Linked DNA regions of Neodiprion lecontei. Each later gene encodes a partner of the first gene's protein in a complex. Links are inferred from orthologs where the notes say so. Each region holds a gene or a part of one and is shown on either strand. Other genes may lie near its edges.

What was found. Proteins that work in one complex are often made in the same cells at the same time.
Region 2: the proteins of probable U2 small nuclear ribonucleoprotein A' (region 1) and U1 small nuclear ribonucleoprotein A are in contact, whole or in part, in a crystal structure (PDB 6F4J), measured with the Drosophila melanogaster proteins. The link is inferred for Neodiprion lecontei from reciprocal best matches to the Drosophila melanogaster genes U2A and snf. Residues at the interface, in NP_610315.1 of Drosophila melanogaster: Tyr15, Asn17, Pro18, Arg20, Glu23, Asp25, Arg27, Ser50, Leu70, Asn72, Asn73, Ser92, Ile94, Thr96, Leu121, Ile122, Leu144, Asp146, Phe147, Arg148, Lys149, Lys151; in NP_511045.1 of Drosophila melanogaster: Ile18, Glu22, Lys24, Lys25, Ser26, Tyr28, Ala29, Ile30, Ser32, Gln33, Phe34, Gly35, Gln36, Ile37, Leu38, Asp39, Ile40, Phe72, Pro73, Phe74, Tyr75, Asp76.

What each region holds. Positions count from the first base shown.
Region 1 is NC_060263.1:37,391,023-37,395,968, forward strand, and holds probable U2 small nuclear ribonucleoprotein A', read left to right. Parts: upstream 1-2,631; 5' UTR 2,632-2,791; coding exon 2,792-2,873; intron 2,874-2,985; coding exon 2,986-3,026; intron 3,027-3,324; coding exon 3,325-3,904; intron 3,905-4,110; coding exon 4,111-4,157; 3' UTR 4,158-4,446; downstream 4,447-4,946. UniProt on the Drosophila melanogaster protein: Involved in pre-mRNA splicing as component of the spliceosome. Associated with sn-RNP U2, where it contributes to the binding of stem loop IV of U2 snRNA.
Region 2 is NC_060262.1:2,057,862-2,062,703, forward strand, and holds U1 small nuclear ribonucleoprotein A, read right to left. Parts: upstream 2,341-4,842; 5' UTR 2,228-2,340; intron 1,851-2,227; 5' UTR 1,846-1,850; coding exon 1,609-1,845; intron 1,461-1,608; coding exon 1,002-1,460; 3' UTR 635-1,001; downstream 1-634. UniProt on the Drosophila melanogaster protein: Binds stem loop II of U1 snRNA. It is the first snRNP to interact with pre-mRNA. This interaction is required for the subsequent binding of U2 snRNP and the U4/U6/U5 tri-snRNP. Plays a role in regulating sex-lethal splicing.

The DNA of each region.
Region 1 (4,946 bases):
TCAATGCAAATCATGCATTGCAAGTCTGGCGAAGAAGTTGGTAATAAACAAAAATCATAAAAGCAGGCTTACAAAAATAAAACTCAAGTTAATACGTTGAATTTTCAAAGAATCTCTTCTTACATGTAGTCCGAAAATGAAGCAATGGATAAAAACGGTAAATTAAAATCAATCGTAAATCGATGTAATAAACTCTGCGAGGCATAAATTCGTTGATTACAATCTGTGATGAGTTTGTATGGGACAAGTGAAATCATCCGGGTCGATCTGTGTCAGTGTTAGTCGATAGTGTTATTTCGACAAAATTTCCGACATAATCCATCGAAATTGGAGACAATAATGGATGATTGTTGATGATTAACGATACAACTTTTTGGTTAATTATAACTTGATTTACTTGAGTCATCGCTTCTCAATCTCCGTTACAATTTTCTATGACCCAGTTTCGAAAATAAAATAAAATTTTCCGACGCTCGAACTTACCTTGCGGCGTTGATATAGGCGAGTTTTGTAATTTTTTGACCTGCTTTATTTTCACAATAATTTTACCAACGGTTTTTGTTTGAACCTCCTGCAGATGTGCAAAAATTGAGAAAGCCAATTGCATGGACATGCAAGTTCAAGGTTGAGAAGATCTATAGCAAATTGACCTTGATAATAAAGTCGAAATTATTTGCACTCAACGCGGTTGGATCTTTCATTTAGTAAGACAGGTAGAAAGGTGATTTCTCTTTTTTTGGAACATTCATGCGTATGAAAATAATCGTTCAACATAGTATGCATCAAAATCTGGTTCCTATTCATCTACTGGCATTAAAGTTAGATATGGGTGAGAAATTCGCAAATTTAAATAAAAATCGCGACTATGTTCCCTACTCTTCGATATGTTATTCGATTAACGAAGAAGGGGCATTCATTTAGTCCATCGCATCTAAAAAGTAGGTAAATCATTTGTTCCAGTTAATTCGTCTGTTAAATTAACGAGAAGGTTAATATTCTTAGAGTGAATTTAATACAAAAACCTACATAGTTTTGTGTGTAGTTCAAACTGTTCAGAGTGTTTTTTATTTCTAATTTCAAGACAAGGAAGACTGAGAAGAAAAAACCGCTCATTGATTGCTTATATCAGATCAAGTTACTTGTTAGGAACAGGTAAAAAAAAAAAAACGGATGACGTTCGATTGACGTAGTTAATGACACCAATAACAAATATTCTGGAGACGTTGGTATCCAATACGTCAGGGAATGCTCTTTCAACTATTTACATTTACTTAAATGGTATTCTGGGTAATTGACAAGAGAAGGAATTTAAATAAGCTAAAATCATAGAACGGTAGATATTCAGGGCTGCAGACCATGAGCAAATATGTGTCCTTTTTAGCAATAATACTTCACTGAAAATTATAACCGCACTAAAACTACGTTCGGTGTTCAATTGAAATGGCAAAACTTTTGAAAACAAATTTCGCGTACGATATTTGTTAATCCAAACGTTCCAAAGGTAGAGAACTAACAAATGTTCAACGAGCTGAATGACGAGGAAAATCGTTCAAGTTTACATTTTTTGGGAAATATCTTCGGAATTTGCCGCAGCTTAGTGTATGTAATGTTTGTTGAATACAAAAATCAGTTCAATTCGTATAAATGTATATACAGTAACTAATTTTGTAATTCAAATCGTCGACATCTGTGATTTCTTCCGATATATTATGATCAACATTAGCTTACCATCAGTATTTACAAAATCCTAAATCATTCAAATTTTCAATTTTCGCTAGGTAAAAAAGATTTTTTACTTTTTTGAATATCTTTGAAATTGAAGTAGGATTATACAAAAATGTACCATAGAGCCGACAGATTAAAGGTAACGGTACGAAGTTGATGAATCGGTACAGAATTTACGAGATTAATGAGCAGAAAAAGACCTTATGAAAATCATATGAATAATTGAGATAATGAATGTGCTTACTGAGCGCAGTCTCTGCAGTTACCGACTTGATCAGATGACTCGGTTGGTAATGACAGAAGACCTTCATTACTACCGACCACGGTCTTACATACAGGTCTGGTAACTCCGGCAGTTTTGAGTGGTAGGGGGTGTCACCGTTAGAGAGGCACACGGTCTTGTTTCCTATCCATCCGCTAGGGGCGCCATTGGCCCGGGGTATGCTAGATATAGATATATACCGATAAGATAACCTGCTCATCGAAGTTTTTGCCAGTTCATAACTCAGTGTAAAGTGTGTAAGCGATGGATCATCTACACAAGATCTCAAACTGTCTCAAAAGTTGTGAGCCCTCGCTTGATGTTTATGGATTTTATTGACTTAAACATTTGAGGATTCCGTTGAAATGAAACAATTATCATGCCCGCTATGGAATGCTAGTAAGCATTTCAATCATTTTTTATTCGCATCTTTCTTCATTTTTGAGTGTTATTCAGGATTGTTGATTCTGAAAAACCAGCTGTTCGGATCTGATTTATGATTAACTCACCCCGAGGGGACAGCGCTGCAGACGGTGAAGACGAGAACCACGGTTTTGCCTCATTATCTGAGTCATTCCCCACCCTACTAGTTTCCGGACCTGTATGTAAGACCGTGCTACCGACGCAATTACTGCTGATCATAAACGCTCCGTCGACTCGGCTGTCTCTAGTCTTCTGAGTTCGTGATTGATTCACCATAGCTGCGTCAAAACCGTAGTCGGAACGGTCAAAATTAGCGTAATAAACGGAAAGGATTTGGGACACGTTTCTTTACAGTTGCTGAGAAATTTATTGTCTAGAAAAATGGTGAAGTTAACACCGGAATTGATCCAGCAATCGATGCAGTACATAAATCCTGTACGAGATCGAGAATTGGACTTGAGAGGTGAGAATGTTAACGGTTTTTCAAACGACGTTGCGCTGCTTTGGCGTAACTTAACCTGAAAAATTCAATTTTTGCACCGGTTGTTGCTGAAAATTTACTTTTTTTATTACAGGATATAAGATACCAACGATAGAAAACCTGGGGGCCACCTTGGTGAGTATCAACGTTCAAGAAATAAACAAGAACAGAAAAAGAGATTAACTTGAGGTCAGAATTGATTCCCAATATATGAGAGTTGAATTATGATGGAAGAAAGTCCGTTTTTGCATGCATGTATAAAGCAATTGTTGGGGGATGAAGAGCATTTGTTTCTGTACTTCTAACATTGGCATTATGTATTATGGTTGCCTGAAGTCGAACAGTTTGATTCAAGCCTTTGGGCTTCGAGTTCAGAGTTGGTGAAACAAAAGAGTGCTATTGATGCATTGTTAACAGCCTATATTTGTTCCAGGACCAATTTGATACAATAGATTTCTCTGACAATGACATCCGAAAGCTGGATGGATTCCCGTTGTTGAAGAGACTGAAGACCTTGTTCTTCAACAACAACAGAATAGTCAGAATAGCCGAAGGCTTAGAGCTCTGTATTCCATCGCTGGAGGTGCTTATGCTTACCGGTAACATGATACAGGAACTGGGCGACTTGGACCCACTCATTCCGCTGAAGAATCTTCGGAACTTGTGTCTCCTGCAGAACCCGGTTTCTGCCAAGCCTCAGTACAGACAGTACGTCGTCTATAGATTGCCACAGCTCCGTCTTCTCGACTTCAGGAAGATAAAGCCAAAGGAAAAGGAAGCAGCCATCCTCTATTTTAGAAGCAAGAAGGGCAAGGACATGGCCAGAGAAATAGCCAAAAAGGCCAAGACCCTTGTTGCTAACAATGGCACCCTAAGCAAACCACCCACCAATGCTGAAGAACGCACAAAGATCAGAGAGGCCATCACAAAAGCTTCGTCACTGGAAGAAGTTCAACGATTGAGCAAGTTACTACAAGCTGGTCAATTACCTGGCGAGGAATCTTCACAGAATGGTATGGAAAACTTTACTAAAATTGTTTGTACGCCTGGCCTCGGAGCTTGATTTGAACATAGTAAGACTATTCTAGCAAATTGAGTTGCGAATGAATTTTTTTCCAAATAAAACATCGAACTCGATACTTATTTCAAAATCAATTTTTTGCAGACGAATATAGCGCTTGTTTATGCTCGCGGGCTACTAATATCTCCTATTTTTCAGGCACCCCACAGCAGCCAACGCCAATGGAGGAGGAGGACGATGAGTGAACTAAATTGAGGGATAAATGTTTAATAATCTGTTTACCGCATTACGAATTAAGTTCTTTTTTTTATAAGGTTACAGCGTAATCCCGTAAGTATGCATTGCCTCCTGATCAACGTTTGTAAAATGAAATATGTAAAAAAAAAAGGTTCTGCATATTAAGCTAATAAGAAGCTGTACACTACACAAAATACAGCATTATCCATTGGAATGTATGGATAGAAAGCGATGGTAAACCGAAATAACGGTTCATTGAAAATTCTAAAAATAAATTACTCTTTGATTGCAATGAAACAAGGTTCGGAAGCGATTTTACCTGAACGAAATTTTCTCTGTAATGTTTCTCCGCTGATTCTAATGTAAATCTCTGTTTATTTCAGCGTGGTTCGAATAAAACACATTGTTTTTCACATTATAAATTGTGTCTTTTAATACTTATTACCATCCAAAGTTTCCCAACAACTTAATTTGCTTGCAGAATTTCATCAAAACTAACCATAAACTAATATTAATAGTTGATATAATCTCACGGTTTGCATTGATGAAAATTCATGCGTAAATCAGTAGCTCAAAGATCTTCTGAATCCCACATTATCACTCAAGTTTAGACGAACCGTTCGCGTCTGTAACGCAGCTTAAGCTAAACTGGAGCATACAAAATCAGCTTCGAACCGTTGTAAACAATTTTTGTTTTGATTTTCCTCACTCTAGGGTCCGTTCGAAGCGTCGAAACTCGGATTAGCGACTTAGACCGCCTGAAGGTAAATTACAAGTCATACACAAACGTAAGACCC
Region 2 (4,842 bases), on another chromosome or scaffold:
GAAACTGAAGCGATCAACTGACCACACTTAACTGCTTCATCCAGCTACGTGACTGGCTTGACTTATCCGGAGATCCGAGATCCGAGCCACGGTTGTCGAACGAATATCTGCGCAGGCGTGGTTCGTGAACGCACCTTGGGAAAACCGGGAATGCGAGAAATACTCGTTGAATCAAACTGCAAGGAGGAAGCCGGATATTGCAACGAATGCAGAAACAGCGCGTTGTCGTTTCACGATTCATCAATTGTACCGGATAATTCGTTTTCAATCATTTTTCATCCTACTCTTCTGTTATAAAAGGATATTTTTGTTAAATTACATGTAATCCGTGTTATATCCACGGCAATTTCGTAGAGGAAAAATTAATCAAAATTGATCGATTATCGTATAATAAAGTATTCTATCACGTGTACTTCGAAATAAAATATATCTGTAGCAGAAGAAATACGCCTTTGCATAGGCAGCAATTTCATAATGGTAGGTCAGTTGCCTATGAACAGGCGGCAAAGATGACAATTTCGTTTTTTACTACCGATATTGGATAACTGTATTGAATTATTTCTATGCACTTCTTTTTTAAATTAAGATAATACTGGATCGGAGTATACGGTATAAATTATCAACAAAATTGGTGTAAAAAATGAAGGAAATTTTTTTATCCCCGCTTAGTCAAAAATAGGCCAAAGTGCAATGCGCGCTATTCCAGACGTATAATGTATATTTACAGGGGGGATAGTGCAAGCTTTATTTATATCAATGGAATTATATGACTTGTACAAGTACGGTGTATATAAATATAGATTATCTTCGGGAAATTATCGTATTGATAGTATGAATAGCGTAATTCTTAAGAATGCAACTATTTCACATCTCCGGTGAAAATTGACAGAGAAGAAAAATGAAAAAAAAAGCCAAATAACAAGACATCTAATGCGTACCACTCTAAAAATACAAAAATTCGTCGATATTTCACCGAAAGTTATTCCTCGATTATTTATCATCTATTTCTTAGCAAATGATATTTTCATTGCATGCGACGGCGTTATTTTGAACCCTTGAAGTGCATCCTTTGCCGCACCAGATTGCACCTCGTTTTCAAACTCAACAAAGGCAATGTCGTGTCTGTTTGGTACTAATCTGACCTCCTTGAAGCCTGGGAATTGATTGAACAACATGGACAACATCATTTCGCTGGTTTCGTCAGGCAGATTGGTCAGGAACAGAATCTGGTTTGGCGGTTGCTCGGGCACTGCAGTGTTCGCCATTCCTGTGTGCTGAGGAACTCCGGAATGATAGCCGACTTGCTGAGAGTGTTTAGCCTGCTCCTTGGCACGCTTTTTCGCACGTTTCGCTTCCTCCTCTGCAGCAGGTACAACCCGCTTAGGTTTCTTTGGTCGTTCAGCAAACGTGCCCTTTCTCTTAGCTATTAGATCACTGTCCGTTTTCGCATACTGTATTCTCTATTAAGAAAAAGAAAACAGGAGAGAGGAAATTAGATAGAATATTAGTTTGCTGATAAAAATTGAGTGCTAAGTTGAGCAATGATGATATTTCTAACATAAAACTGACGTTTGAGGATTCAAATCAGATCTGACTAGTTGTTCTCACCATTGGTTTATCGTAAAACGGGAAACCTTGCATGGATCGAAGGGCGTTAGTAGCGCTGGCGATCTCTTTGAATATGACGAATGCCTGGCCACGCATTTTCAGCGTTTTCAATGCAACGATATCAAGAATTTGACCAAACTGCGAGAAAATTGCATAGAGCGACTTTTGCAGCTCATCTTTGTTTATCTTCTCATTCAAATTGTTTATATAGATCGTGTTGTTTGGCCTTATATCCATTTTGCCTGTAATCAGAATCGGAGTTAGAACAAGTCTTATCGTCGGCACAGCGATGACTTGTGTTTGTTTTGGTCAGCAAGATGAAATCACTCGACTAACCTCTGAGCCGATGTCAAAAAAAAGGGAAAAGCAGAACCGTAATTTATATAATGTTCAATGTGGAAAAAAATCCGAATGCAAAATCATTGATGATCCTATTCATTACATTAAAAATGCCACGAATACGTGAACGCAGAAATGCTTTCGTATCTTTTTTGCATCCGGCGATTTCGGAATCTGCTGATTATCGCGATTAACATGGTATTACTGGTGATAAAAATTCGAAGACAGAGATATCGCATTATTTTGAACGCATTTGAAAGATAAAAAGCGTTGAACTTACCTAATTTTCACTACTTTATGATACAACCTAACACCTCAACTGCACACGCTTGTTAAGCGTCGATATTTTGAGAGGTTATGTTTGCTGCAATCAAGCTCCTTGCAGTTTGCTGCCTGCGCGGCTGGCTTAGATTATAATTCCTAAATATAGCGACAGATGGCGCCGCGGGTCCGGACGCGTCGGCATTTGAATTTGAAATTTCGAACTACGGACACAACGGTCGTTATGGATTTGCTAAATATTTGAATAATTTATCGCGATTTGAAAGTTCCATATAATTTCACAAGATACATTATAAATATATATGTACTTAAAGAGACTAGGAAAGGAAAGATTTCGTGTTTTTTAATTTTTGTTACTACAATCTCTGCCAAACATTTTGGCGAAAGAAGAACTGAAAAATTCGGAAAATTAAGCTTAGGAGGACTAGGAAGGTTTTGGCGACTGTCGATGTGACGAAAATTCAATTCGCTTTCATCAACTACAGAAAAAACATACGCAATTTTTGTTATTTCTAAGTTGTTTTTCACATTTTTGTCGATGCAAATCAGTGGTAAACGTAAAAAAAATAATTTTTAATAATAAGGCAAGGTATTGAACTATTATAGAATCTTGGTGATCGGTCAATTAAGTAAACGTATTTTTAGTTAACGTTTCGACCCGGATATGGGCCCTCCTCAGAACGATTTATTTATTTAACTGTCAAGAACAACAAAAAAAATTTTTTTATATACATAATAATACTAGAAGTACAATCAGACATTAAATATTGTAGATGTAATACTCTTAGGGCTATTATATATTATTGGTTAGTAAGAACAATTTGATTAATTGAAAAAAGAATGGCTTAAAGTGTTATTTACCTTTTTTTTATAAGTAAGTGGACTAGGATGTAGTCGAATTCAATTTTTTCAATTTTTTGTATCCAGTTAAGGTTAAACAATATTTGTTGTGTGGGCGGAGATTAGAGGTTTGTAAATATTACTTAAATGTCCAACATCTTGTCTTGTAATCTCCGCCCACACAACAAATATTGTTTAACCTTAACTAGATACAAAAAATTTTTGTCCCCATAACACAGTTTTTCTACATAATTTTTTCACAAAATATTTTTTGTTTTTCTGTATAATTGTTTATATTAGGTTCACCTTTACTCTGGATCATATTTGTTTCTCCCATCAGTCGTTATTCACCTGTTGACCCAATCGGTTCAACCAACAATAATTTTTGTTAGACATGTGGAACATAGTCATAAAGAGCTTACCTCCACTTCTTGGACATTTTGCAAATTAATTTTACGGCTAAAAAGACCTTCTTTAAAAACCTTTTAACACAATGACATATTGACTGTGAAGAAACATAGTTCTTTAATCTTTTTAATTAATGACTGCCAACTATTAACTCCTACATGTAAAATAACTAGAAGATTGACATTGACTACCGTCACTCAAAGAACATTGTCTCCACTAATTGTAAATTGTGAATTCGACTACATCCTAGTCCACTTACTTATTAAAAAAAAGGTAAATAACACTTTAAGCCATTCTTTTTTCAATTAATCAAATTGTTCTTACTAACCAATAATATATAATAGCCCTAAGAGTATTACATCTACAATATTTAATGTCTGATTGTACTTCTAGTATTATTATGTATATAAAAAAATTTTTTTTGTTGTTCTTGACAGTTAAATAAATAAATCGTTCTGAGGAGGGCCCATATCCGGGTCGAAACGTTAACTAAAAATACGTTTACTTAATTGACCGATCACCGAGATTCTATAATAGATTATATACGAGGTCGAGAATTCTTATTCATCAAGGTATTGAACGTTGAAGATAACCGTGCGTTCGAGTGTGGTACATATTTACACGCGTTTCATAGTTCGTACTATAGTATTTCCGATTCCTTCTAAATCTAGGCCTAGGAAGGTGGAAATAAATAATCACAAGTCCTGATTGTAGAATTGGAGACAGATCAGAGATAGATCCAAACAGGAAAAAGTTGACGCCGCAGGTGCGGGCGGTGTGACCGGCGAAAATGGGGAAGGAATTCCGGGAGGAAAATCTGAAAAAATTTCAGATGTATTTGATTCGGATATTATATAGTAAGCATAAAGATAAATATGTTTTTATGGGTTTGCGCTGAAAATAATTCACCGCAGGCTCTGTGGTTTGGCTATGTGATTTCTACTCTTAACGGATGTGAAAAGCAATGATACATCACATTACGCTGATATTGAAAATGAGTTAGTTTATTATTCAACTTGCCTTTTTTCCATCGAAAAGAAGAAAATCATCAGCTGCATAAATCGAGTCAAATCGAAGACGACGTTGCATTGCCACGAATAGAATATAAATATTTTCACTTCGTTTTCCTATCAAATTGGATAAAAGAAAACTTGAAACTGACCCTCTATCGATATCAATCAATACAACATTTTTATAATATGTTGGTTTAATTTTTGCTGCTGGTGGAAAAAAAATTATCACATGTCTTGAATACAAAAATTGCAGACAGATTAGAGACAGACGCGCGAAAAAATGAGGGAATAGAAAATATATTGACAATAATAAGAAAATTAGATAGAATGAGAAGTTGATTGAAGGAAAGTT